Linked DNA regions of Ovis aries. The protein of the gene in region 4 purifies or fractionates together with the protein of the main gene of each other region. This does not show direct contact. Links are inferred from orthologs where the notes say so. Each region holds a gene or a part of one and is shown on either strand. Other genes may lie near its edges.

The links.
Region 1: the proteins of COPS3 (region 4) and CUL4A purify together in Homo sapiens (affinity purification with mass spectrometry; 10 studies listed by BioGRID and IntAct, counting the BioPlex papers as one, with this or other methods). This does not show direct contact. The link is inferred for Ovis aries from reciprocal best matches to the Homo sapiens genes COPS3 and CUL4A.
Region 2: the proteins of COPS3 (region 4) and CUL2 purify together in Homo sapiens (affinity purification with mass spectrometry; 5 studies listed by BioGRID and IntAct, counting the BioPlex papers as one, with this or other methods). This does not show direct contact. The link is inferred for Ovis aries from reciprocal best matches to the Homo sapiens genes COPS3 and CUL2.
Region 3: the proteins of COPS3 (region 4) and CUL4B purify together in Homo sapiens (affinity purification with mass spectrometry; 11 studies listed by BioGRID and IntAct, counting the BioPlex papers as one, with this or other methods). This does not show direct contact. The link is inferred for Ovis aries from reciprocal best matches to the Homo sapiens genes COPS3 and CUL4B.
Region 5: the proteins of COPS3 (region 4) and BTBD2 purify together in Homo sapiens (affinity purification with mass spectrometry; 3 studies listed by BioGRID and IntAct, counting the BioPlex papers as one, with this or other methods). This does not show direct contact. The link is inferred for Ovis aries from reciprocal best matches to the Homo sapiens genes COPS3 and BTBD2.
Region 6: the proteins of COPS3 (region 4) and CUL5 purify together in Homo sapiens (affinity purification with mass spectrometry; 3 studies listed by BioGRID and IntAct, with this or other methods). This does not show direct contact. The link is inferred for Ovis aries from reciprocal best matches to the Homo sapiens genes COPS3 and CUL5.
Region 7: the proteins of COPS3 (region 4) and DCAF11 purify together in Homo sapiens (affinity purification with mass spectrometry; 3 studies listed by BioGRID and IntAct, counting the BioPlex papers as one, with this or other methods). This does not show direct contact. The link is inferred for Ovis aries from reciprocal best matches to the Homo sapiens genes COPS3 and DCAF11.

What each region holds. Positions count from the first base shown.
Region 1 is NC_056063.1:85,900,618-85,904,117, forward strand, and holds part of CUL4A (cullin-4A), read left to right. Parts: coding exon 1-78; intron 79-1,244; coding exon 1,245-1,349; intron 1,350-1,549; coding exon 1,550-1,660; intron 1,661-1,734; coding exon 1,735-1,820; intron 1,821-2,371; coding exon 2,372-2,479; intron 2,480-3,500. UniProt on the Homo sapiens protein: Core component of multiple cullin-RING-based E3 ubiquitin-protein ligase complexes which mediate the ubiquitination of target proteins. As a scaffold protein may contribute to catalysis through positioning of the substrate and the ubiquitin-conjugating enzyme.
Region 2 is NC_056066.1:17,650,754-17,654,949, reverse strand, and holds the start of CUL2 (cullin-2), read right to left. Parts: upstream 2,801-4,196; 5' UTR 2,634-2,800; intron 2,548-2,633; exon of another isoform or gene 2,359-2,547; intron 2,007-2,358; 5' UTR 1,831-2,006; intron 1-1,830.
Region 3 is NC_056080.1:104,877,681-104,881,180, reverse strand, and holds part of CUL4B (cullin-4B), read left to right. Parts: intron 1-3,012; coding exon 3,013-3,117; intron 3,118-3,500.
Region 4 is NC_056064.1:34,632,738-34,636,954, forward strand, and holds the start of COPS3 (COP9 signalosome complex subunit 3), read left to right. Parts: upstream 1-1,417; 5' UTR 1,418-1,499; coding exon 1,500-1,554; intron 1,555-3,176; coding exon 3,177-3,306; intron 3,307-4,217. UniProt on the Homo sapiens protein: Component of the COP9 signalosome complex (CSN), a complex involved in various cellular and developmental processes.
Region 5 is NC_056058.1:41,967,343-41,971,476, reverse strand, and holds the start of BTBD2 (BTB/POZ domain-containing protein 2), read left to right. Parts: upstream 1-1,334; 5' UTR 1,335-1,355; coding exon 1,356-1,738; intron 1,739-4,134.
Region 6 is NC_056068.1:17,395,703-17,398,206, forward strand, and holds part of CUL5 (cullin-5), read left to right. Parts: intron 1-920; coding exon 921-1,115; 3' UTR 1,116-2,504. UniProt on the Homo sapiens protein: Core component of multiple cullin-5-RING E3 ubiquitin-protein ligase complexes (ECS complexes, also named CRL5 complexes), which mediate the ubiquitination and subsequent proteasomal degradation of target proteins.
Region 7 is NC_056060.1:20,842,409-20,846,564, reverse strand, and holds the start of DCAF11 (DDB1- and CUL4-associated factor 11), read left to right. Parts: upstream 1-1,356; 5' UTR 1,357-1,684; coding exon 1,685-1,839; intron 1,840-2,728; coding exon 2,729-2,856; intron 2,857-3,090; coding exon 3,091-3,218; intron 3,219-3,491; coding exon 3,492-3,556; intron 3,557-3,869; coding exon 3,870-3,970; intron 3,971-4,156. UniProt on the Homo sapiens protein: May function as a substrate receptor for CUL4-DDB1 E3 ubiquitin-protein ligase complex.

The DNA.
Region 1 (3,500 bases), on a different chromosome or scaffold from region 4:
AGAAGTTCATCAACCTGATGAAAGAGTCCTTCGAGACATTCATCAACAAGCGGCCCAACAAGCCCGCGGAGCTGATCGGTAGGGAGCAGGCTCGCGCACAGGCTTCCCCTGGAGCACGCGCCGCACGGGGAGGGTGGGCGGGCCTGAGAGGGCCGCCTTTCCGGAAGCCACAGACACCAGCGTGCGCTTCTGTGTGCTGAATCCATATGTGAGCACGTGATGTTTCCATTGGGAGCGTGTGGTGATGGTTTTGTGACAAGATGGAGCCTGACGTCTCAGGAGCAGGATGAGACCAGCAGATTTCTCCTCGCCTGCACGGCCCCGGCCCCAGAGCTCTTCCTGCCCAGAAGCTGGCCTGGGTTTGTCGTGTAGGAATGTTAGGAGGGTGACTGTTGGCCTCTCGACAGCGCCTGACAGGAGATGGCTGTTCAGGCTCGACCTTGTATCCCCCAGTCAGTGTTAAATGTGGTGCGATTGATTGGCACTCTTTCAAATGATCCCTTTGTATACTTATTTCCTGATAACATCAAAATATACCAGGATTCATGGAGTCTCATCAGTGAGGCAGTTTTTTTGGAATTGTCCAGAGGCAGTGGGCAGGGAGGTGTGAGGCCGTGGCATAGGGCTGAGCTCCGGTGTGGGCTGGTGAAGGCGCCTGGTGGGAAAGTGGAGGTTACAAGTGCGTACATTTGTGGCGCTCAGAATCAAGACAATGAGGGGAGGGGCTAAGACGAGCCAGCGGAAGGAGACGTTCAAATGCACCTGTTTGATTTGGCCTTTGTGCCACTTTATAGACTGTGGTTTCTCTAAAGACACATTCGGACTCTGGGGAGCTCGGGTTCTCCCTTCCTTTGGGCAGGTCGAGGCAGCCTGTGCGTCTCGAAAGCAGGAGGGCAGGCGGACCCACTCTGTGCCTGAGGGGTCAGCCCTGAGGGGAGTGCTCCCGCGTAAGGAAGCCTTGCCCGCACGTCTCCGCAAATCCTGCTGGCGGGCTGCTCCGGCTTCTGGAGCGGTCGTGTGCCAGGAAGCTCCAGTGTGGGACCGCGGGGTGTGTTCTCCGAGCCTGGAAAGCACAGATCTTAGAACATCAGGTGTTTGCCTTTTTGTTACAAAATAACATGTCAGTTTGGGAAGGTTCCAAGTGTTTTTTCTTGGAGAAATTAAAGACCTTCCTTTTTGTATTTAGAATATGTATCGTATTGTGGAGTGAATGCTTATTTTTCAAATGATATCCTCTCCTACAGCAAAGCACGTAGACTCAAAGCTCAGAGCAGGGAACAAGGAGGCGACAGACGAGGAGCTGGAGAGGATGCTGGACAAAGTCATGATCCTGTTCCGGTTCATCCACGGTGAGCTGGGCCCCCAGCGCGTCCGCGGCATGGGACCGCGGTGGCAGCCGCTGTGCGCGCAGCAAGGGGGTTTGTGGGGATTCAGCGGGAAGAGCTGGCTGGCACACGCGCGTGGTCGCCTCTTGGGCCGAGTCAGAAGCTGAGGTGAACATTTTGACGGCAACTGTTAAATGTCTCACATGGTTCTTGCTTATAAATAGGTAAAGACGTGTTTGAAGCTTTTTACAAAAAAGATCTAGCAAAAAGACTCCTGGTTGGAAAAAGTGCCTCCGTCGACGCTGAGAAATCCATGCTGTCGAAGCTGAAGCACGGTAAGCGCCGGGGGTGGGGGTGAGCGCCCCACTCAGGGCCTTCCTGATGCTCACCCGCCGTCCGCTTTGTGCAGAGTGCGGGGCCGCATTCACCAGCAAGCTGGAGGGCATGTTCAAGGACATGGAGCTCTCCAAGGACATCATGGTTCATTTCAAGCAGGCAAGTTGTGTTCAAGTGAAACAGCTCTTTTAAAAACACGCTATTTCAGATTCTGTGAAATGATTTTGCATGTAAGTATGTGACCTGTGTAAAATCCTCGTCTTTAAAAATCACGCTGTTGATGCTCCACGTACTCAGAACACTTCAAAATGAAAAAGAAACATAACCCCCCGGGATTCCCTGTTGGTGCAGTGGTTAGGACCCCAGGTTTCCACTACCGAGGGCCTAGATTCAGTCCTCAGTCTGGGAACTAGGGTTCTGCCGGTTGTGTGGCGCAGTTGGAAAACAAGAAAAGAAAACTAATTCCTAAAAGTGCACTTGGAACTCTGGCTTAAATGAGCTTAATGGCCCGTATCTGGGGCAGAAGTGAAGAGAGACGTTCCCAGTGGCGTTTGACCAGGGCGTGTGGCCTCAGTGGGCTATGTTCCAGGGGCTCGAACAAATGAAACGCAAGGTGAGCTGTAGCTGGGAAATGGGGTCATCGGTTTCTGGAGGTCAGTTCTGGGCGCTGCTCTAAAGTGGCCGTCTGTCCCGGCTTCCTGTCTGTGCAGTACATGCAGAACCAGAGTGACCCGGGCTCCATAGACCTGACCGTGAACATCCTGACCATGGGCTACTGGCCGACGTACACGCCCGTGGAGGTGCACCTGACTCCAGAGGTGAGCGCGCTCGGGAGCCAGACCCTGCTGCCACGCGCTCCTGCTCCAGGCCCCACGCACCGCAGGGAGCGTGGCAGCCACGCTCGCTGAGCCCTGACCATCCGCGTCTTCTCGGAGCAGCGTTCACAGCGGGCGCTCCTGGTCTGTCTCTGCCGGCTGCCTGTCACGGAGGCGCTGGTTTAAAAAGCTCCTGTGTGGGAGCCTCGAGCTTCCTTGGCTGGCTGATGCTCCCACCCGACATACCAGAGCCAGGGCCTGAGAGGGCAGGGACGGCGTTGTGTGGCTGAGACGGGCCCTGTGAGGGGGATGGGGTGTGCCTGCCGGCGTGGGCCCAGGGCCTCCGGGGCGACAGCTAGGCCCAGGGCCTGGCACCCGGGCAGATGTGCTGCTGCCCGGACCCACCCTTCCTGTTCGCAGGGCAGAGTCTCCTGGAGTCCCCCGTTTCTGGCCCCAGGCAGTCTCTGTCGCGTCCTCTCCTCCTTTTCCTCTTGCCTGTACCCCGAACGCACATGTTCCCTGGAAGCCCCAGCTCCGTCCCTCTCAGCCTCCAGCCTGTGTCTCCAATCCCCCCCACCCCGGGTCTGTCACGGCTGTCCCAGACTCAGCGCCCCTTCCCACATCTCCCCACGCGATGGGACGGCTCTGCACCCCTCCCCACACTCTGCCTGGCGCGCTCACGCTCCCAGGGCGGGTGTGACCGTGCAAGCTGACACTCTTTCCTGGAAAACCTCCACGCCCCGTCTGTGCCTGCTGGTTGACACTCGTCTCCCCCCTCCCCCTGGGGTGTGCGTGCACACGCGTGCCGGCGCTGCAGGACTGGCCGGGCGTGGAGGGATGGCAGGAACAGGCCAGAGTCCCAGGGCCTTCCCTGGGAGAGGAGGAGTGCAGCGAGGGTCGTCCCAGCTTGCGCAGCCGGGCAAGAGCACGGGCTCTGACCAGGCGGACCACCGGCGCTCCTGGGCTCAGAGGCTGCAGGGGGCCGAGGAAGCCTGCGGGGCTCGGGAGCGGGGGCAGCGAGGGT
Region 2 (4,196 bases), on a different chromosome or scaffold from region 4:
TATAGTTTGTATCTAAAGATAATTATAACAAGAAGCAAAACAGAGGAGTTTTTACTTCTTTAAAAAATTAACATAATTATAATAACCAACAGATAAAGTCAGATGACTCCCCGTATCTTTCTCTGACTAAAAGTTAAATCCTATGAAGGCAGAGATTTTTGTCTATTTTTTCACTATGATGTATCCCCACTGCCTAGTCCATAGCTGGTGCTTAAAAAATACTTGTTGAATCAATGAATGCCTCCCTAATCTCTCCACTGAATTCCAGACTTGGGTATCCAACCGCCTGCTTCTCACCTCTACATGAATACTGAATAGGTCCTACTTCAAATGTCCCATCCAACCCTACACCCATACAACAACCTGCTTCCCTCACTTCCCCGTCTCAATTCACGGCGTCACAGCGTCACCACGTTCCAAGTGAAGCCTCAAACCCAGGAGTCACCCCCATCCCAGCCAACCGCGTTCCCATCCGAACCAGGCCAGATCACTGCTTTCAACTCCAAAATAGACCTCAGCATCTTTTTTCTTTGCCTTTGGTCACTACTCAGACCTGCCGCAGCCTTCTCACCAGTAGGCCTGCTTCTTTCCTCTTATCCAACCTCCTTCAGGTCAGATTGTAAACCAGACCATATCACTCCCAGCTTTGCAAAAAGGGAACAGCTTTTCAATGATCCTCAAGAATAAAAGCCAAACACACTCCTCTGGATAACAGACCTCACATGACCTGACCCATGGCTACCACCTAACCTTTTCTTTCTCACGAGGGTCTCAGCCCAACTTCAGTGAGTTGCTTTCAGTTTGCTGAACCTAAGCTTGAAACTACCTTTGGACATATCCATTTGCTGTTCCCTCAGACTTGCAGAGGCCATATTCTTCCCACTTTTCAGATATCAGGTCAAAAGTCTCCTCAGACAGGTCTTTCCTGACCACAGCATCTGAAGCAGTCTCTCCTCGTCACTACCACGCCTTCCTATTTTACTTCTTTTATAGCATTTTGGATTGGCTGAAACTTTTTCTATTTCTTACTTTCTGGCTTTCCCTTACCTCCCAGAACTGAAGCTCCTGGAGAGCAGAACTTTCACATGTCCTGTTTATGGCTGTATCCCTAAGGCCTCAGGTAATGCTTGTCATACAAACCAGGTGCTTAATAAATAGTGAACTGACAAAGGCAAGGCAAAACAGACTTTGAAGAAGGCCTACAACATTCCATTTAGTGACACTGGTGAAGATTAAAAAAAAACATGAAAAAACTACCTTCCCACAGAAAACACTTAAAAATCACCAGAGGCTGGAGAATGAAGCAAAAGTATTTCAGATGCATGTGAGCATTCAGACATAGAAAGGGTATTTTTCACATACTATGTACAGATGTCCTTCCAACTTATAAACAGTATCTGGGGTAGGGAAGAGTAACTGAGAACACCGTGTACATCTGCTATTTCATCTCTGACTCTTTTGGAAGGGTCTTCCAACACCGTATTTGGGCAAAAGAGGCAAAATATAAACAATCTATTTGATTGTCTGCCTTGGAAAGAAACGTGAGATAGTAAGGAAGAGAGAGCAGTCTTTTGAGTGTTCTTAAATGCCTATTATGTAGTGGGTGATAAGTCAGAACTAAGTGATTATTTCCCCTATCTTACTATGTATAGATCTGGGACTGTTCTAGTTCAAAGATGTTTACACTGTAAAACCAAAGTCTGTAGTGAATGTTAATAGTTTTTAATCTTATAATCAAAATGTAAACTTCCAAGGTTCTCCCTTACAACTAGGTATTAGTACTCCCTGGGGAAAGGAGAGGATTTAACGACAAAACAGTCTGCAACTCACAAATGTTTTCTGTACATGCACGTTTTTGCAGGGTGGTAGGGAATGGTCCAGACTCCCTGGTGTGTATCTAAGTGCTCTTAAGAGTCTAAGGATCTTATTTCACCAGACCCCAAGGGTTGAGACAGGTCTAGCATGCACGCAGGGCACTCCTCCCCAGAGCTATCAATCTTCGCTGTCTGCGGAAACAAAAGTGAAGACACTCGTGGTAAGGATGTAAGAGATTGATGCCCCCCGCCCCCGACCCCTCACACCGCAAACACACAGAGCTGTGTAACCGCATGGGCGCGTAAATAAAAGAGAACACGCACTCGCACCTTTCCTCCCTGGGAGCAAAATGGGGCCGAGGGAGGGGCGGCCAAGGCCGGCTGGAGGCCCGGGATACAGTCCGGGGGCGGCCAGGCTCCGGGGCCAGCGCTCCTGGAGCCAGGGTCACCCTCAGGACACCCGGTCCCCGGCCTCCCCCCATGCCTCCCCTCCCCCTCCGCGCCCCCAACTCCTCTCCCCGCCCCAGCCCCGCCACCCACTAACCGGGAGAGGAAGTTTCCCGGAGCCCGCAGCTGGCTCCGGGCCTTCAGCGGGTTACCTGCTGCAGAGGCGGGACCCGGGGCAGGGAGCAGGGGAGGGAGACAGTCCGAGGGCGCGCAGGACGGTGCCCGGCGAGGAGGGTGGGCGGCGGCGGCTGTCAGCTCCGTCCCTGCTCACCGCGCTGCCATTACTGCGCGCAGGCGCCTCCCCGCCGGCCGCCACCACCGCCGAGGAGCGGGGGGGGGGCCGGCCCGGGGCCGGGGGGCCAGGGCGCTCACCTGCCGTCGCGGGAACACGGGACAGCTCCCGGATGGAACGGCGCAGTGGGGAGCGGACAGGGGAGAAGGGCGGGCGAGCCACGCGAGCGGTGAAACAACCGTCCTCCGAGGTCCTGCTTTCCCGGCACACCCTCGGGGTTCCTCTTCCGCGACCACCAAACACCCCCGTCCTGTGCCGGCGTTGGTAGAGTCCGAGTACGGCGAGGGCCGAGGGCCACTCTTGTGCGGTGGCGGAAGGCCGAGGGAATCTTGCTCCAAGCCACTGCGAGCGGCCCCAGCTGCCCACGAGCGCTCGTGGTTCGCTGAGCTGGCGACTGAGGACCCCTTAAGTCCAGGGGCGGCTGATAACAATGTGTTAGAAAAGTGGTTTCAACACAGGATTTTCCCCTAAAGTTCTTTTAGAACTACGTGAACATTCTGATACACCACCATCTCCTTGCCACCTACTTACTTCTGTGGGCTTTTCAAAGGATTGATAGGTATTAGCAAAATTAGTTTCCTCGGAGTATCCTTTTCTGGTGGGTTTTTATCTGTAGACATTCTGAGACATAAATAATGTATTTTCAGTAGAGGCCCGTCCCTTCACAGCCTGTGACCCCAACTCCCCGCCTCCCTGCACCTGTCAATCCAAGGGTGTCCTTCGCCTACAAATGCTCAGGGTGATGTTGACAAAAGTTCAGACAGTACCCATCTCCTCCCTAGTACGCACAGCGCCCCAGGGAACAAAAGCCTGGCTTTATTCTTTTATCAGCCTTTGGTATCCAAAGATCTCAGAAGTCAGTCTTCTCTGTGCGTTTTAAGCCTTTCCCATCCAACACCCTTTCTTAAAACTCTGTACCATTCCTTCAATGCATGCGTGTAGGCTTAGTCTCTTCAGTCGTGTCCGACTCTTTGGGACCCCATGGACTGTAGCCTGCCAGGCTCTACTGTCCATGGGACTTTCCAAGCAAGAATACTGGAGTCAGTTCCATTCCCTCAAGGTCCACGTAAAATCTCCCGACCTGGTAAATCCCACGGATCTTTCTCCTCTTCTAATCTGCCTCTCACAGCACTTGAAGTCTGCAGTACTTATTCTAAGAAAGCTATCATGTGTTAAAATCAATCCCACATATGACCTGTTTTCTCACATGGTCTCTTTCTTTTAATCCAGCAATTCTCAAAGTATGGCCCTCAGACCTCTGGAAATCTGAGATCTTTTCAGGGGTCCCGATGTTAAAAACAATCATCTTTGTAAATGACACGTTCTTTGTTATTTTTTTCTGGGTTCACAAAACTCGGCTGACATCTCTCTCCTCAGGCAGAATCAAGAGGGAGGCAAGAGACATTCCCTAGCCAACCAGTGGTTAGGCCTCTGCACTTTTACTGCCTGGGCCTGGGTTTGATTCCTGGTGGGAAAACTAAGATGCCACAAGGTGCCTGGCAAGGCCAAAACAAAAAAAAAGAGGGTGGCACAAATCTGTCCTGTTGGTCATTGCACTGAAGCCATACACTCCCAGTTTGGTACTTTGTTCTTGTTTTGTATTAGGAATATCCTTGGTGAAGTAGTAAAAAGTACTAATTTTA
Region 3 (3,500 bases), on a different chromosome or scaffold from region 4:
CTCAAAACCCAAAAACTATGAGAGAGCACGTAGTGAAAAGTTTCATTTCCACTCCAACCTCCCTGCCCCAGCAAACAAATGTTATTAGGGGTATCATTCCAGAAATGTTTCATGTGTGCAAAAACAGATGTGTGGAGGTTTTCTCAATTTTCTTTTTTATATATACATAAATGATAGTAGACCACTATTCAGCACCACACCATGCAGTCCTTTGTATTTTTTTATACCTGTTAGGCAATTTCTCCATAACAATACCTGAAGAGCTTGATGGAAAAGTTCTTAAAGATGGAAAATTACTCAATCTGGTCTATATGTTAAGCAGTCAAGGCTAAATTAGAGACTAGTAAGGGGTTCTGTTCCATCTTGACCTTCAAAATTCACCTTAGATCCTCCTGCCTTGGCCTTTCCTTCTTTTATTGCTTCTAATAACTTAAACCTGGTGACAGAGGATGAGATGGTTGAATGGCTTCACCAATGCAATGGACGTGAACTTGGGCAAACTCCAGGAGATGGTGAGGGACAGGGAAGCCTGGTGTGCTGCAGTCCATGGGGTTGCCAAGAATCGGACACGACTTGGTGAATGAACAACAACAATCTTAAACCGCTTTCTAAGCACACGTGAAGCCATATGCATATAATGTGCATGCACACACACTTGGTTGCTCAGTTGTGTCCAAATGGTAACCCACTCCAGTATTCTTGCCTGGAGAATCCCATGGATGGAGAAGCCTGGTGGGCTACAGTCCACAGGGTCGCAGTCGGACATGACTGAGCGACTTCACTTTCACTTTCATTTTTCATGGACTGTAGCCTGCCAGGCTCCTCTGTCCATTGAGTTCTTCAGGCAGGAGTACTGGAGCGGGTTGCCATTTCCTACTCCAGGGCATCTTCCCAACTCAGGGATCGAACCTGCATCTCTTGAATCTCCTGCATTGGCAGGTGGATTCTCTACCATTGCTCCACCTGGGCCCAATTCTCTTTTTCTCACTATTCCCATAAGCTCTTTATCCACATCCCTCTGGGTCTTTGGAACTCCACCTCTTTACTGCTGCTCAGCAAGCCTTTCCTGACTTTTCCCTGCCATAAAGATTGAGTTAGAGACCTCACCTCTATGTTTATCCCCATCATAGCACCTAATAGTGTGTTGTAATTACATATTTTCTGACCAGTTTTCACTTTATGCTGTAAGCCTCTTCTGTGTGTAGGACACATTGCTAGTTATAAGTACATTAGTTTTTTGAATATTTATTATATTCTCCTGGTTTAGAGCCCCAGAAGTATTAAAGAACATACAGGTACATGAGCCCATGGTCTGGTCTCTTTCTGTCATTAAGGAGAGTTGGGGGCCAGGATATACACATTCAAAGATACAGTGTTGATTCAGTGACAGGTCAGTATGGTATGACTGTTGGTAGTGCCATACGAGTCATTGGTAGCTGAGACAGTTAAGGAAAGTTTATTGGAAGAAGTGGAACCTAGCTGAGTAGTAAGGGAATGTGGTATCCTGTATGAGAAGATAAACAGGTGGGATGAGAACTAACGTATGGAAGAAAGTATCACAGCAGAAGGGAATGGTAGAAGTAGGACTTGGAAAAGTACTTGAAGTGGGAAATGTGAAGAAAATGCACTACAAAGACAACTTAAGCAGGGAAACAAGAAACGCTGAGAAAATCAATCATTCAAAAGGAACACCAAGATACAATGAGAAGACTACTAAAGGAGGAAGAGAGTCCATAGGGGATCATTGTGAACCAGTCAGGCACATGAAATAAACGCACTCTTAGACATTTGTGGCCTGACCCAAGGCCCCATCGTAAGTGGTGGCCAGCAGGAACTTCGCTTCCTTATTCCTCGTTAGCTGCTGGGTCTAAGTGGTCTGCTGTTTGCTGGTAAGGTGTAGCACCTTTCCTCCTTTAGTATAAGTGGTTTCATTTAAGCTTTCTTTTCATTTATGAGTTTATTTGCTGGACCTGCATGCTGGGAATATGACTTCCAACTACATATTTATAAAATTTCAATCCAACCAACAGGACTTGGATGGTCCCTTAGAGTCAATTTTAATGGAATTTTTGCCTTCTCTTGTGGTGAGAAAGAAATCCTGGTGTTATACTTAAGTCATTACTAGTTGGAATTGTAGATTATTTCAGAGTTCTACCATGCCTGTTGTATTAAATTTGAAAGTCTTTTGATACACCTAAGAAGAAACTCAGTGAAATCTCAGTTTTGTCCTTTTGGGATTTGACTATAAAAGACCAATCCAACAATTAGAAAAAATAAAAATTCAGTATTTCTTTAGGAGTTAATGTTTATTCCATTGTGCAAAATTTTAAAATGGCTATTTAAATATTCTTAAGCTGCAGTGTTGGAGATAAATCCTTGTATAATTATTTCATTCTTATAACACTGCTTGCAACAAATTCTGGATTGCTCTGTTCAGGAAAACCAAAGAAAGTATAAATAAATTTAAATTCAGTGGTAGTTGGACTGCCCAGTGAAAGTGAAAGTCACTCAGTTGTGTCCAACTCCTTGCAACCCCATGGACTATACAGTCCATGGAATTCTCTAGGCCAGAATACTGGAGTAGGTAGCCTTTCCCTTCTCCCCAAACTATCTAATAAACAGTTGGTAAAATTATTTTTCAAACTCAAAATGGAATTCTGCTTAGAAAAACAATTAACATTTTTATGAATAAGACAGAGTTTATATGTAGCAGTTGTTATAAATTCAGTGTCTTTACAAGTGGAGAATTTGGCTTGATTCCCCCCATACTTAAACTGTACTGCCAGAATAAACAGATTTGGGGAGGGGTGGTATACTACACTGGTTATGAAAAAAGTTCACTAATTGCATTGATATTTGGTGGTTTTACCTTGTGTTTTAAATGGATGACATCCTTTTTAATAAGTTAACATGGTAGAAATAACAAATAATAGGAATTAGATGTAAATAATCAAGAAATATATATACAGAGATACATTCACTCCTTAAGAAAGTATGTGTTTAATTTTGCAGGCTGTGGAAAATCTCTGTTCTTACAAGATTTCTGCAAACTTGTACAAACAGCTGAGACAGATTTGTGAAGATCACATCAAAGCACAGATTCATCAGTTCAGAGAATATCCTTTTAAAAACAAAAAAACCTTGTATTTTCATCTTTTCCTCCCTCTGTCCCTCACTTTTTAAACCAGCTTAAAATGGAATGCCTATGTTTTGTAGATTTGTTGGGTTTTGTTCATCTTGCCTCTAGGGAAACGTAAAATTTCACTTTTTACCTCTAATTAGGGTCCAAATCTACATTGTACCACTAACGTAAATAAAATTTCTTTATGTCTTTACTCTTATTGTCCTCACAAATTTCCATTTGAGGAAAGATAATCAGGAAATAATGAACTGAAAACACAGTGCTCAATTACATCTAAGACTTGCTTTTTGTTGTTTTGTTTTGACCTTGTGGCATGTGGGTTCTTAGTTCCCAACCATAGATTGATCAAACTCATGGC
Region 4 (4,217 bases):
AGTGGAGTGGGTTGCTGTGCTCTCCTCCAGCAGATCTTCCCGACCTAGGGATTGAACCTGCGTCTTTTAGGTCTCCTGCACTGGCAGGCAGGTTCTTACCACTAGCACCACCTGGGAAGCCCCAGAGAGCCTGTGGGTCACAAGGAAAGATCCCACATGACACAAGGAAGACCTGACACAGCCAAATAAATCTTAAAAAAAAAAAAAAAAAAAAGTTCCCAGGTGCTGCTGCTGCTCTTGGCTGGGGATCACACTTTGAGAACAGATCCCAGTAAATAGGCAAAAAAAAAAAAAAAACTGAAGTATGACTAGTCCAGTTCAGTTCAGTTGCTCAGTCACGTGCGACCCTTTGCGACCGCATGGAGTGCAGCACACAGTAGCTGTGGCTATTTTGAACTCTTATAGTGCTTAACTTCTCTGGAAAGTTCTGGCTTTTATTAAAATCCATGTATATCCATGGAAATGTATCCTATAATTCAAAATATCTGTTCTCTGTTTGAGAATCAATTGTGGCCATACAGCACACAGGGATATCTCTGTCCTACAGTATAAGCGTTAAAGTCATTCATCCGTACATGTCATCATCTATACATTCATATATACAAATACATCCATTTATTTCTACCGCTATACCAACATACAATTATTACTATTATATTTCATGTCAACTCAGTACTGCAATAGCTTCTTAAATGATTCTCTGAGGTTATCCATGTGAAGCCAGTCTTTTCCATATTCAAGTCTGATCATGCCACTCGCTTGCATGAAACTCTCCATTGCTCCCCAATCTTCTCAAGGAAAAATCCAGTAGCTTTAACACGGCTTACTTGACATGGCCCCTGTTTATCTTGCAGCCCCATCTCACATCACCCCTCTCCAGCCATAAGTATTTTACGTAGTTTATCGTGAGGATTTTACAGATGGGGAAACAAGGCAGCGGACAGCCAAGGAGCTTGCCGAGAGTCATGGAGCTACTAAGTGCTAGAAAAGGGATTTGAAGGCAGGTTGCCTTCCTGTCTGGACAACTACTACCTGGCTGGAAAAGCCTCAGGGAAGAGGTTGCGATTAAGACAGGCGGGTTCCCTGAGTGGGGAAGATCCCCTGGAGAAGGAAATGGCTACCCACTCCAACATTCTTGCCTGGGAAATCCCATGGACAGAGGAACCTGGCGGGCTAAACAGTCTATAGGGTCGTAATGAGTCGGACACGACAGAGCGACTGAACAACAGCTAGGCGTTCAGTTCCTTCCTTTGCCCACCATCCCCTTTAAATCCAGGGAGCGACTTCACGTGTGCACAGAACGAAAACGGAAGGGAAAAAAACCTGCTTTCCGGCGCGGGCATCCGCAGAACCGGTTCCATGGAAACAGTAGCCGGGTCCAGGTAGGTAGATCTCGCGGCGCTTGAGCGGCGGAAGTGACGTCACCGCCCTGAGGCCCTCCGGTGGGTCGCCGGCCCTCGTCTCGCGCGCGCCGCCTCCGTCGCCCGGCTACCGGGAACATGGCGTCCGCCCTGGAGCAGTTCGTCAACAGCGTCCGCCAGCTCTCCGCCCAAGGTGAGGCGATGGGCGCGGGCCGCGAACCTGCGTCCGGGCTGCGGCGGGGGTCTTGGAGCTTGGGCCGGGGCTGAGGAGCGCGCGAGATGGACCACCCCTTCGCCCAGGCCCCGGCCTCCGCCCCCCGCCGTCGGAGCTCGGTGCGTCTCGCTTCCCGGAGGCCCTTCCCGACTTGGCCGCGCGGCCGGGCCCCTCGCGGCTGGCCGCGCTCGACCCCCGAGGGCCCTGGCTCCCGGCTCCCTTTTCGGGGGGCGGAGTTGTGGCCGCTGTGAATTTGCCCCTAATTTTCATGCCTTTGGTTGGTTCCTCTCATCGCCTGAGTGACGTGCCCTGGGCCCAGAATTAAAGTAACTGGCCGCTGTTGTGAGGCCCCTTTCCTCACCCTGTTGGTTCATCTGTGAAATAGAAACGTCCGGACTGCGCGGGCTTGTCAGGAGTGAGCGGGAGGAACCGTTAAGGTTCCAGGAGCCGCGTGACCTTGCTCAGACACCCTTCTCTCGGGAATCGCGTCTCCCGGTGTAAGGACCCAGGTGCTGCCCGCCAGGCTGCCCCGAGGTTGCTTCGGTTCCTGGCGCTGCGCGGCGCAACGGTTCTGCCTCGTTTCTCTTAACTGGTAGGAGTTAGGGTCAGGAGTGAGGCTGGGAGTCTCTGGGAGTGAGGAAGACACTCACTCATTTGTTTGTGCCACAGACTGTAGTTTCCCGAGGTGACGTGAGGTTAGAAGGTTTGGGTTAAAGTCCTGTCTCAGTTGGGCCGAGTGGTAAGGAATCTGCCTGCCAATGTGGGAGATCCCCTTCGATCCCTGGGTCAGGAAGATCCCATGGAGGAGAAAATGGCAACCCACTCCAGTATTCTTGCCTGGAGAATCCCATGGACAGAGGAGCCTGGTGGGCTGCAGAGAGTTGGACATGACTTACTTTAGCTGCTGAACACGCATGCACCTGTCTCAGTCACTTGGTGACTAACCAAACAACTCATTTCCCAGGTTCAATTTTCTTACTTACAAAACAGAGCCGGGGCCGTGCTGGTGAGCATCAAACAGGATCGCTTCGCCTGGAAGCTTCACACACACATTTTGTGCAGGCTGCTGCTGTAGGAGCAGGCTGCCCAGCAGAGACGGGCAGGTCACTTGCCCTGCCTCTGACTGATGTGCCTCACGCCTCCTGCACAGACTGGTGCTGGTGTGGAGTGAGGGCTGGGGTAGAGAAGGAAGAAGGGGGCTGCTCAGAAGATGATGGCGTGCAGATTGAAAGTGACAGGCGTGGGAATGAAGGCGGAGGGGAGAGGAAAGTGTGGACTGAGAGGCTGAGGAGTGAGATGAAGTCAGAGCTGGTGACATTTTGGATACAGAAGGGAGATGAGTTGGTGCTGATGGTAATGTGCACTCTGCTGGGTTGGGGCACTGGAAGTGGGAGTGCGAAACCTTCGGCGGCCAGAGGAAAGTGGGAGACTTAGCACTGAGGCCAAAGGCAAAATCATTTGGTGTCTCTGGCCCTTCTGGGTCCTCATCTGAAATGAAGGAGTTGGAGGAAATCACCGTTAGGCACTGGCAGGTCTGAGGTATGACATCTTTTGGTCTGGTGAATGCTGTTCTGAATGGAAGTATCATTCTTGTTTTCCAGGGCAAATGACTCAGCTTTGTGAACTGATCAACAAGAGTGGGGAGCTTCTGGCGAAGAACTTATCCCATCTGGATACCGTGCTCGGGGCCCTGGACGTCCAGGAGCACTCCTTGGGCGTCCTCGCTGTCTTGTAAGGGCGTCTTCCTTCACGGCTTTGTGCTCGCTCAGCCTCAACGCTGCATTCTCTGGCTTTGTTTGGTGTAGGAAGCAAGCCCTGTAAACGACAGTGAGCTCTTTGGCACAACTAAAGTCACGTTGTAGCAGTTACCTTTACCTCATTGCAGCTAATCATTGCTTGTATTTTTTGCTCTGCTTTATTGTTTTTTAAAATTCTTAATACAAATTTTGAAATGTTTTAAAAAAATGGTGATCTCAGTTGTGGCACTGTAGTTTGTGTTTATCTGAGTACTTTTATTCGTGTGATCCATGGTATTCTCCCCATTTTCTGAATTGAAAAGAGGAAAGAGTGGCAGGACATGGCAGGAGGCCGAGCTGAGTGAAGTTCCAAGTAATCCAGAGCACCCTGCAGACAAGTTTAAGCTGGTTTAAGACCAAGTTAAACAGACGTTATTCCAGTTGGCCTTTTGAACTCTTGTGACTATGTACTTGACGGTTGTTTTTTTTTTCTCTTGATGTTTTAGTGTCATAGATTGGGATTTTATGGTTGTTGTGGAAGTTGAAATAATGTAGATGAACTGAGAACAAATTGACCTGAAGTGAGGGTCTGGCTTCACTTGAGCTGGTGCTCCTGAGACAGGGGTGTGTCAGGAGGAAGGTGCTGTCAGAGCCCGAGGTCTAGCCTGCACTCGCAGGATGGTGGTCAGTGGCTGTTGTGTGTCTGAGTGTAAATCTTTACAAATAAGTGACATTCAGGATTCAGCTCCTCTGTCATACATGCAGCATCTTGAAGACTCAGTAGCCACTGCTTTAGATGGCGCACACTCGGAACAGGGCCTTCGCTGCGGACACTTCTGCTGGCTGTGGCTGGCGGATAAAGATCTCTGCTGGCTGTGCTTTCCCATTAAAAGAACAGGGAGCACA
Region 5 (4,134 bases), on a different chromosome or scaffold from region 4:
TTCAGGTAGGGTCTGGTGAAAACACCCTTATGTCTCCCTCTCTACTCAGCCCCTGCCTTCTGGGATATTAAACAGGGTACCCACCCCCCACTCCCTGTTCATCTTCTTGACTCCTGAGTCACTGGTCAGCCTCCCTTCCTTTAGGAAAGCCTCCAAGCTGCCCCTGCACCCCTGAAGTCATACCTTCTGTTACATTCCTCAGGCTGCATCTCCAGGTTGTGACCCCCAGGTTGCTCAAGAGACCCTGTTTTATGGTCTCCTAGCTGCCTGTGCTTCTTCTTCAAGGCATTAGGGCACTCTGACATTGTGGGTGCAGTTAGCTGTTTGTGGGTTGCAGCTCTGTGGACACCGGGCAACTGACACCTGGCTCAGAGGAGGGACCTGTATCTCTGTTGATTCTGGGATGCACAGCCCTCCCCTGCATTCAGCGCTACCCCCACTGTGGAGTCCCCTCAGCTGACCACCTGGGGTTGGGGCTAAGGTCCAGGGTCCCAGCTATGGGGTTTGGACTCTGGAGTTGGGTCTGCATTTGTGTTTGGGGGTCATGGGTCAGAGATTGGGATCTGGGGTTTAGGGAATGGAGTTGGGGTCTTAGTTCTGGCGTCCCGGGTCTGGAATCTGAGGTCTGGAGTTGGGATCCAGAGCATGGGTTCTGAGGCCCAGGATGTAGGAGTGGGATTATGGGGACTGAGGTCTGAGGCCTGCAGCCCCTGCAGTTGAGGATCTAGGATCTAGACTGGTGATTCCAAATCTGAGGTCAGGGTTTTGAGGTTTGAGGTCTGGGGTCACAATTTCTGGATCTGGGACATAGAGTCTGAAGTAAGGGGTCTGGGTTTAGTACCCGGGTTCTGAGGTCCAGGATCTGGGATCTGGGGTCTGAGGTAGAGGATCTAGAATCCGGGGTCCGGGATCTGAGGTTAAGGACCTGGAATCTGGAGGTCCAGTGTCTAACAGATCTATAACCCGGAGTTAGGGGTCTGAGGTGCAGGATTTAGAACCCGGGGTTGGGGATCTGAGGTAACAGATCTAGAACCCGGGGTCCAGCTTCTGAGGCAACAGATCTAGAACCCGGGGTTGTGGGTCTGAGGTACAGGATTTAGAATCTGGGGTCGGGGTCCCAGGTCTGAAGTACGAGATCTAGCACGTGAGGGGTCCCATGTCTGAGGTCGGGGCTCTGGGGTCTAGGCCCGGGGTCTGAGGTACGGTCTCCATCGGCCTCTGCTTGCCCCCGCCCCGCCCCTCCCTCTCCCCTCCCGCTCCGCCCCTCTCCCCTCCGTGCCCCGTCTCCTCGCTCCTCCCCTCTCCTCCCGCCCCTCCCCCGCCCGGCCCGCCCCGCCGGGCGCCGCACCGACAAGATGGCGGCGGGTGGGAGCGGCGGGCGCGCGTCGTGCCCGCCGGGGGTCGGCCCGGGCGCGGGGGCCGGCCCCGGGCCCAGCGCCAACGCCGCCCCGGCCCCCGGCAACGCGGCCGCCGCCGCCGCCGCCCCGGCCCCCGCTGTCCCCGGGCCGCCCCCGCCGGTGTCGGTGTCGGGGCCGGGCGCGCAGGCCGCGGCGGGCGGGGAGCGGGCGGCCGAGGAGCCGGGGGCGGCCGCGCTGCTCCGCGAGCCGGTCTACAACTGGCAGGCCACCAAGCCCACGGTGAAGGAGCGCTTCGCCTTCCTCTTCAACAACGAGGTGCTCTGCGACGTGCACTTCCTGGTGGGCAAGGGGCTCGGCGCGCAGCGCATCCCGGCGCACAGGTGGGCCGCCGTCCGGGACCGCCGCCCGACCTGGGACCGGGTTAGCACCGAGGCCCGCCCCCCGGGACTCCGTCATCCCCCAAGACGCTGCCGCTTCCCGGGACCCGGTCATCCCCGGGACCGGACCCCTACCCCCACCCCCCTCCCCAGGATTCAGTCATTCCTGGGATCCCGCTCCCCGTCTCCCCTCAGGAAAACCGCCAGCCCCGGGGACCCAGCACCAGCCATTCCTGGAACCCCTGCTGTCCTGGGGCCCTGCCCTCCCCCACCGCCCCCGGGTCTCAGCACCCTTAAGGCCCTGTGACCCTGCCAGGCCTCCGTCCAGCCGGGACTTCCAGATACCAGCCATGGTCCGCTCCTGCGACCCCTGCCCCTCCACCCTCATTGGAGTCTCCTGGCTCTATGATCCCTGACCCTGCGCTCATGCCCGAAATCTCCCAGGTGCGCTGACCTCTTTCACTTGCTGCATCTCTGTGACCCTTCAACCCCTGCCAGGCTTTCCAGGCCTTGCAGACCCCAGCCTGGACAGCCGAAGGACCTGCAGAGACCCCATCTCCTTCCGCCTCCTCCACTGGGCCCCAGTGACCTCCTCCCCCGAGTTCCCCCTCCTGGGGCTGGGACCCCCCAGAGCCCCGCTCAACTCCCACCTCGTGAACCCCAGACCCTGACACCGTACATCCCAGGTCTTCTCTTGAATGGGGTTTTCCTTGGTGCAGGCCCACATCTCTGCCAGTCTCAGGGGTGCAGCCTCCAGACTCCTGGGTGGGGCGGGGCTGGTATCAGACCACCCTGCCAACTGCTTGCTGGGGGATGCTGGGAGGGTTCTGTTGGGGGAGGGGGCTGGGGGTTCTTGCAACTCTGCCTGGAGAGTCCCCAACCCGCTGTGAGGCTTGTCTTCACCATTCTGGCATGTGGCTTTTACTTGGCCTGTGTCTTCGAGATTCTTCTCTCTGGCCCTTTCCTGGTTATTTATGTGCAATTGGGACTAGATTCCTGTCCGAGGAAGGTTCCAGGCCTGTGAGGGCGTCCCCAGGACCTCCTGGGGCTTGTCCCTGCCCTAACCCTCTCCCTTCCCCTGCGAATTCCCCAGAGGACTGGTTGCCTTGTGACCCAGGAGCCCCAGCCTCTGTCATGCCTTTCTTGTTTGATATTCCTGCTCTGTGGATCCTTTTGATGGAAGGTTCTAGTTCCTTTTCTATTCAGCCTTTGGGTTGTTGTTTCATTTGCATTGTGAAATGTTACCTGCCGCGATCAGGTGCGTGAGTGACCCTGGGCTCTCCTGAGCCTCAGTTTCCCTCCACCTCTGTGACCTGGGACCGACCATTAGACACTTCCTTCCTGGAGCCACTGGGAGGGTGGACCCTGTGACCAACCAACCCTGGGACTAACCAGGTCCTAATCACAGTGCCTGGGCTCATCCTCCACAGGCTGGCCCCACAGGCTGGTGGGGATGTAACCCGGTGCTCCAGGAAACACTCTGGAGCATTGCTGCTGGAGCAGACAGAAGTGGGGAGAATTCCTCACAGCATGCGCCCAGCTCCAGGCTGGACCTCACCCCCGCCTCCCTCCCGGATGGGCTGCATTAAGGGAGTGGCTTGTAAGGAGCAGATTGGAACCCCATCTTGGGGAAACCCGGCAGATGCCCCTTAACCAAGTGGCTAAGTTGATGGTCCTGGGGGCGTCAGCACCCCCAGCAGGAAAGACTCCTCCCCCCGGTGTGCTCCACCCCCAGCCCTGAGTCCCAGTGTCGTGGGTTGATGGTGGCCCCCAAGTTGTGTCCAAGTCCCAATGCCCAGAACCCATGAACGGGACCTTATTGGGAAAAGGGTCTTTGCAGATGTGGTTAAGAGTTTCAAGAAGAGATCATCCTGGATAATCTGAACGGCACTAAATCCAACAAGTGTCAAGTGCCCATGTGAGAGACATGGAGAAGAGGGACCGGGCAGAGACTGGAGGGATGTGTCCACAAGCCACAGTCTGCCTGGGGCCCCCAGAAGCTGAGAAGGGCAGAGCCTTGCAGGGAGCGTGTCCCTGATCTTGGACCTGCAGCCTCCAGAACGTGAGATTCTCTCAAGTCACCCAATTTGCGGTAACTTGTTAGAGGAGTCCCAGGAAACCAGTCCACCTGGAGAAAATAACCAGATAAACCCAGTGGGGCATGCCTCAGGTCCAGGACACCGGCAGGTCCCCAGGACGGTCCTGGGAGGAGCCCGAGGACACAAGTAAACGCCACGTGGGATTCAGAAACAGAGCCTGGGGCGGGAAGGGCATTAGTGCAGAGCTGGTGACTGCTGAACTGGACCTGAGCTTACTTCACAAAGCAGACTGAGGGCAGGGCTCGTGCCAACTTCCAGAAAGGCTGTTGGGTCTGCAGCCACCATTTCCCAGAATCCAGA
Region 6 (2,504 bases), on a different chromosome or scaffold from region 4:
CGCCTTACTGGTTTCTGTAAAGTACAAGTGCCTGAAGGAAGACAGACTTTTTCCCTCTTCCTTCTTTCTCCCTGAACCCTTGACATAAACCCTGTGATCCAGAGTGTGGATTTGGACATACTGTTAGGAGTAATTCTTCTGACCTGCTCGTGGCAGTGTAGGAATTCTCATGTCTGTGCAGAGGAAGTTGATGGTATACTTTTCTCATACTGAATACTGCCTGACTCCCAAGCCTATTGCCTTGTAGCAAATCTCTGTTTTTTAGTGTTTAAAAGCAAATATTAACACATTTCTGTTTTAAACTTCTTTTATAATGAATTTTAATCTCCAGTAAGGCAGATGAATGCCTTTTGTTGACTAAGAAGAGACCTTGTACTGGAAAAGACAAAAGAGAAAATATTTAGTAATTTTCTAATTATCTATATTATATAGATTAATAGTAATTAAATCATCAAGGAAATTATTAATAAAATTGACTTAAATGAAAAGTGCTTACTCCTCCAGAAAGTTGAACCATTTAGTCGAGTCATTATAAACTGAAGGTACTTGATAATAAGTACAGCTCATTAATCTGATAAGTATATAAAGAGTAGTGATTGTTAATTTTTAAAACAGAGCAACTAAAGCAACTGACTGCTACTACTATGCAAAGAAATAACTGTAAATACAAGGGGAAAAGTATGTAAAAAGGGATATGAGTAATTTTGCTTTTCTTTATTTTTCAGAATATCCATAATATGCAGATTTTGTTTTCCACAGTGAAAAGAAGATACTTTTGTTTGTTACAGGTCTCAAGGTTAATCCAGTGATTGCTAATCATTTGGATAGATGTTGGATAGAGGATAAAAAACATTAAAAGTCATTTTTCGTTTTGTTTTACTTAAAATAATTTAATACTTTATTTTTATTTTTTCTTTTAGGAAGCTATCATACAAATAATGAAGATGAGAAAGAAAATTAGTAATGCTCAGCTGCAGACTGAATTAGTAGAAATTTTGAAAAACATGTTCCTGCCACAAAAGAAAATGATTAAAGAGCAAATAGAATGGCTAATAGAGCACAAATACATCAGAAGAGATGAATCTGATATCAACACTTTCATATATATGGCGTAATTTTGAATATCATGGACAATATTAAGAACCCAAATTTTGGAGTGCTTCGGCAGAAAGTTCTTACAGTTTGTGCTAGGGGAAGGTTTAGTTGGACTTCGATTACATAAATATTAAAATCTCTGCCTTACCTAACAAAACAACTATATTTTGCCAATCACATTAGTTAGCATGGTGGCATTCCTTTCATGTTGCACCACTCTGTTTTAACAGCATGCTGTTTTGTGAGAAACTTGCATTCACAAAGAGCCCATTATGAGCTTTTAAAATCCTGGTTTATACCCACCAGAAGAAATAACAGTTGGGAGGGTGAAAGTGGGGTTCTTGTTGCCTTTTTTTTCCTTTTTTTTCTCCTGTCTTAGAAAAATGTATTTGCACAAGGAAGGATCTTCAGATGTTTGTGCACTGAAAAATGCTGTTATGTTTTGTTTTTGTTTTTAAATTCAATTAAAACTAGAAATAGCACTCTTGATTTCTTTTGATCAAAAGAGTGAGCTGGTCTACACAACATTGGGACAGGGCAGATATAGATGAACAGATAAGTATTTAGTATTATCATATGTTCAAACACTGCTTCAGTATAACAACTGGATTTTAGTGGGGACTTCAAAGTGATAGTAAATTTTTCCAACTAAGAAATGTTGGCTTTCGTTAAGCAGGAGACTACTGTTTTAGTTGTTCATTGTTAAATGGAGTGGTTTTTTTTTTTTTTTTCTAATCTTATATGGCCAGAGAGTTTGTTTTGAAAAAGTGAAGCTCATATTATTATTTTAGTTGTTTAAAAAAATGTATGGAGATAGATCATTTCAACTTCAGAGTCAAAAATAGCAAAACTCGCATATTAAGTGTTTACTAAGACACTTAATATTATATACCTAATATTTATTATGCTACACTCAAATTCATTAAAAAATAAGGCAGAAATCTCCTGCTTTAATATAATACAATTATATAACTGACCTCTTAATCTGTAGCATAGAAATACTTTGAAGTTTTAAAGTCTCATTATTAGGGATTTGTAGCCTCAGGTTTCTGGAAAGGAAGATATTCTGTTTTAAAAAGTAATAATTATCAGTCACCTACGAGGTAAAGAAAAACCACAACATAGACCTGAAAAGCATAAGCAGAATTGTTGCAATCTTAATATGAACAATAAACTTGCCAAATAATATGTATATATATATATTTATATATTTTGAAAGTAAGCATTTAAATAATGTTCAGAACCAACACTTAAACTTCTTTCTTTCAGTCAATCCAAAGTAGCAACTTTTTAGTTGCTGGCAACTGAATACCCAGAGTAATGGAGATTTTAGGACTTGAAGACATGAACAACTTAAAAAAGGAAAACTTATTCCCCACTGGGAAAGAATGGCTCAACATGGATTTTAT
Region 7 (4,156 bases), on a different chromosome or scaffold from region 4:
GCGCCCGCGCCCGGCACGAACAATCAACACTCCCCCGCACAGACACACACACCCAACCCCAGCAAGGGCAAGGATCCCAAAGTACACAAGTCGCGGCCTTGGACTTAGCCCAGTTACTCATAAACCGGGAGGAGGGGGCAGGAGGCGCCGCGCGCCAGGGCCGGCCTGGGGCGGAGAGGCACCCGAAGCACAGAAGATCTAAAGAAAGTCCGCAAATCCCAGAGGGCCCAGGGGGCGGCTGAGGGGAACAGACAAAAAGTAAAGGCCAAAGGAGACCCGTGTCTGTGTTAGGGAACGTCAGCAAAGACCGACAGGGGTCACCTAAAAAGTTGCCAAAGCTGTTAACAGGAGGTCTAGAAACGGCAAACCCTACAAGAACAAGGCTTCCGGAAGCTAAGTCCGGAAGGGAGGGTGGAGGGCCTATGACGTGAACACTTCCCAAAGGCGCCGGGCACCCCTTAGGGCAGGGACGGCAGTAGCTGCAGTCGGCGAAGAGAGAGAGGATAGAGCCGAAAGGGGAAAAGGGAAGGAAAGAGTAGGTCCTTAGAGGTCGTCTGAAAAGTGCGAAGCCAAGCTAACCCAAGGGACCGACAGCAAATTGTATCCCTTGTTAAGACACCTCACGGAAGCGCGCCAACGTCTTTTGTAAGCCCCGCCCCTCGCTCATCTAGTCTAGTTCCGTGGTCTCAAATTCAGGAAGCACCCGGTTCCCTACATACTCCTCCCACAAGGAGCGGTCGCCCCTACTGGGCTGCGCGCTTTCTCCTCCCCTCAAACCCCTCGCGCACTTTCTCCCGCCCGTCTGTCAATCACCGCGCTCAGCTGTCCAGTAAGCTGGCCAAGAGGGCTGGGCCGTCAGGGCTGTCGCGTGACGTCCGTAATCCGCCGGTCGCGGAGCGGGGAGATGCGTGACGAAGGCGGCGCGTGACGGAGAAGCTGTTAGCCGACGCTGCGGCGGCAGTCCGTGTAAACAAGGCCTCGCGCCGCTGCTGGTCCTGCGACTGCTTCTCGCTGGTGGGTGGTCTCGCGCGTGGCGGTAACCGCAAACTATGTGGGAGGTGCTTCTCGGCTTCCTCCCTGCCTGCCCCCGCTTAGCGTACACACCCCCGGAACACCACGTGGGCGTGAGGCAAGGAAGGGGGGGGGTGTTAGGCCGAATTTTAACCTCATTGGTTGTTGCTGCCACCGGCTCTCGCAAGGGAGTGCTCTAATTGGCCGGCAAGGGGGGCGTCGAGGGGGTCTCTGAGTTCTAAGGCTTCTGATTGGCTAGGTGGGTAAGCTAATGAGGCGCCTTTCCATCCGCGAGGGGTTTTGATTGGTTCGCCGGAGAGGTTACCTGGGAATCCACCCCCACCCCAGGGACTTTGATAGGTGAGTTTGAGGTGGAAAACTGAGAAATTCCTGTTCAAAGGATTTTCACTAGTGAGCTAGGGTCATGCCCTAGGTTTCACTCTGCTTATTTTGCTTCACAGGATTGGGAAAGGTTTGTGTTCCCGAAGCCTTGGGAGTTGTTACAGGCTGAGGAGAAGGGATCTCAATACCTAGGAAGGGTCGCCCTCCTAGAGATAGCTACTATCGATCTCAGGAAACTCTGGTGTTTCTAGAGCAGGCTTTGCTTTCACCAAACCCAAGGAGGTGACAGGAGGAGTCCCCACACAGGACTTAAGGATGCTGTGACCAGAAGATGGGATCACGTAACAGTAGCAGCGCAGGAACTGGGTCCGGAGACCCCTCCGAGGGCTTGCCCCGAAGAGGGGCTGGCCTGCGTAGGAGTGAGGAGGAGGAAGAGGAGGATGAAGATGTGGATCTGGCCCAGGTACTGGCCTATCTCCTACGCAGGTAACTTACCCCTTGGTGTGTCCCCACCAGGCACCACCACAGTCCCTTGATACCAGCTCCCGTCGGGGAAGTTACAGAGAATAGAAAATGGGATCAGCCCAGGATAGCTGTTCTGTTTGAGCAGAACAGCCTTCTCTGCTGGACACTGGCAGCACTCCCCTAGGCAGGGTCAGCAGGATGATTTGCTCTTGTGTTGAGGGGACTATTCAAGGGAGTCTAGCTATGACTACACACATGTAACCTATTTTCCAAGTAAGTAAAAGAAAAAAGAGGGAGGGGTGTCCTGGTGGGAAGGAAGTGCTATGAGGGGTGAAGAAAAGAGTTGGGGAAGTGGGTGTTGAATTTAAATGAAGTCATTGACACATGATATGAGGCCACATGGATTTACTTGAAAAACAAGTTTAAATTAACCTAACTCTAATCCTGTTCCTGAAGAAAGAATGCTTTGAGGGAAGTGACCACTGGCAATTGCCTGGAAAGGGGGTGCAACTGGCTTTGGTTCTTAGCTATGGCTCCTTGAGGGAGAAGGCAGGCTTGAGAATCCCTTCAGAAAACCATGTCCTATGCTAGACTCCTTGGGCAGAGACTCAGAAGGAAATGCTCTCAGAATTTCTAACTCTCTGGGAAGTCAAATCAGTAGATTAGCCAACATCCATGCAATGCTGGGGTTTTCTGCTCCTCTTGTAAGAGTGAAAATTAGCTTCCTGGTGTGTCTTATAGGAGACAAAATAACAGCCATGGTCTAGTCAGCCTCAAACCTCAACATGGGGACAGTACAGGGGTTTGAGGACAAGGTGGTCTATGAACTACATAACCATTGACTCTGAATTTGGTTGGTCTGGGGAAGGGATCCTCCCCTTTATCACGGGGTGGGGGGGTCTCTCCACAGAGGCCAAGTGAGGTTGGTGCAGGGAGGAGGTGCAGCAAATTTGCAGCTCATCCAGGCCCTCTCGGACTCAGAGGAAGAGCATGACAGTGCCTGGGATGGTCGTCTTGGAGACCGATACAATCCACCAGGTAAGAGGAAAGACAGACAGAGACCCTGACATCAAAGGATTTCCACTACAAAACTTTTTTAAAAAAATTAATTTTGGCAAAAATTGAAAGAAAAAGCTGAGATAATTCAAGGAATGAGGGAGTCTTTGCAGCCCCAGTATATTCAGCCACATTGAGAAGGCTGAGCACAGCCTTGCTAACTATCTGCTGGGGCTGGAAAAGACCTAGGATGAAACTTCTCTTTGGTGCTCACAGTGGATGCAACCCCTGACACCCGGGAGCTGGAATGCAGTGAGATCAAGACACAAGTGGAATTGGCCACAGGGCGGCTGGGGCTTAGGCGGGCAGCCCGGGAGCTCAGCTTTCCTCAAATGCTGCACCAGGTAGGCCTCTCCTCATCCAGCCAGTCTGGCAGCAGGACTATTAGTGCAGCCAGAATCCACAATCCCAGAGAAGAGGGAAGTAAACTTTCCAAGGAAGCCTCAAGTGCTGGAGCTGGAGCACTCTCAACCAGCCTGAGTGGGCATTTGGTGGGACATATTACTATGTGCTGGGTTCATTCCTGTAGCAAGAGCAATATTTTGGAGGAGGGGGCTTGGTGTGGCTGAGGTGGCCCTCTGTTTCTACTAGCAATATTCCCCAATCCCTTCCTTTAGAGAGAACGGGGCCTCTGCCACCAGGGAAGCTTCTCCCTTGGAGAACGGTCTCGAGTGATGTCTCAGTGAGTATGGGGCTTGGTGGAGAGATTCCAGGGGCCAGATAAGTCTAAACTTTCTTAAACCTTAAAAGGATGAGTGTTAAAGGATTCTCAAGGATATTAAAGTTAGGTTATGTGGGGTTGAGGCTTTGAGAATGAGCAAAGTGGAAAAGTATAGCAATTGAGAGGATGATAGAATGAATCAAAGACAAAGGCTTATACCCAAAGCCGGGAAGAATGCCCCTGTACTCACATCCAGCTGTGTTAGGATGCTACTAACTGGGACAAGGAGCCATCCTGAGCTCCTCTTACCCTCACTTTCTTTCTGCTTCCCCAGCTTCTTGCCCAACGATCTGGGCTTCACCGATACCTACTCTCAGAAAGCTTTCTGTGGCATCTACAGCAAAGATGGTCAAATCTTCATGTCTGCCTGTCAAGGTACCATACCCTAGTCCTACCAGCTGCCTTAGAACGAGAGATGTTCCCTCTGACTGATGCTAGAAAGCCCCAGATCCAGGGAGCTCAGACCCTGGCTTAAGGATGCTTAGCTAGAACACATGTTTTGTCCCATGATCAAGGGAAGATTCCACAGATCAGTGGTGAGCGAGAGAGGTCTGACCTAGG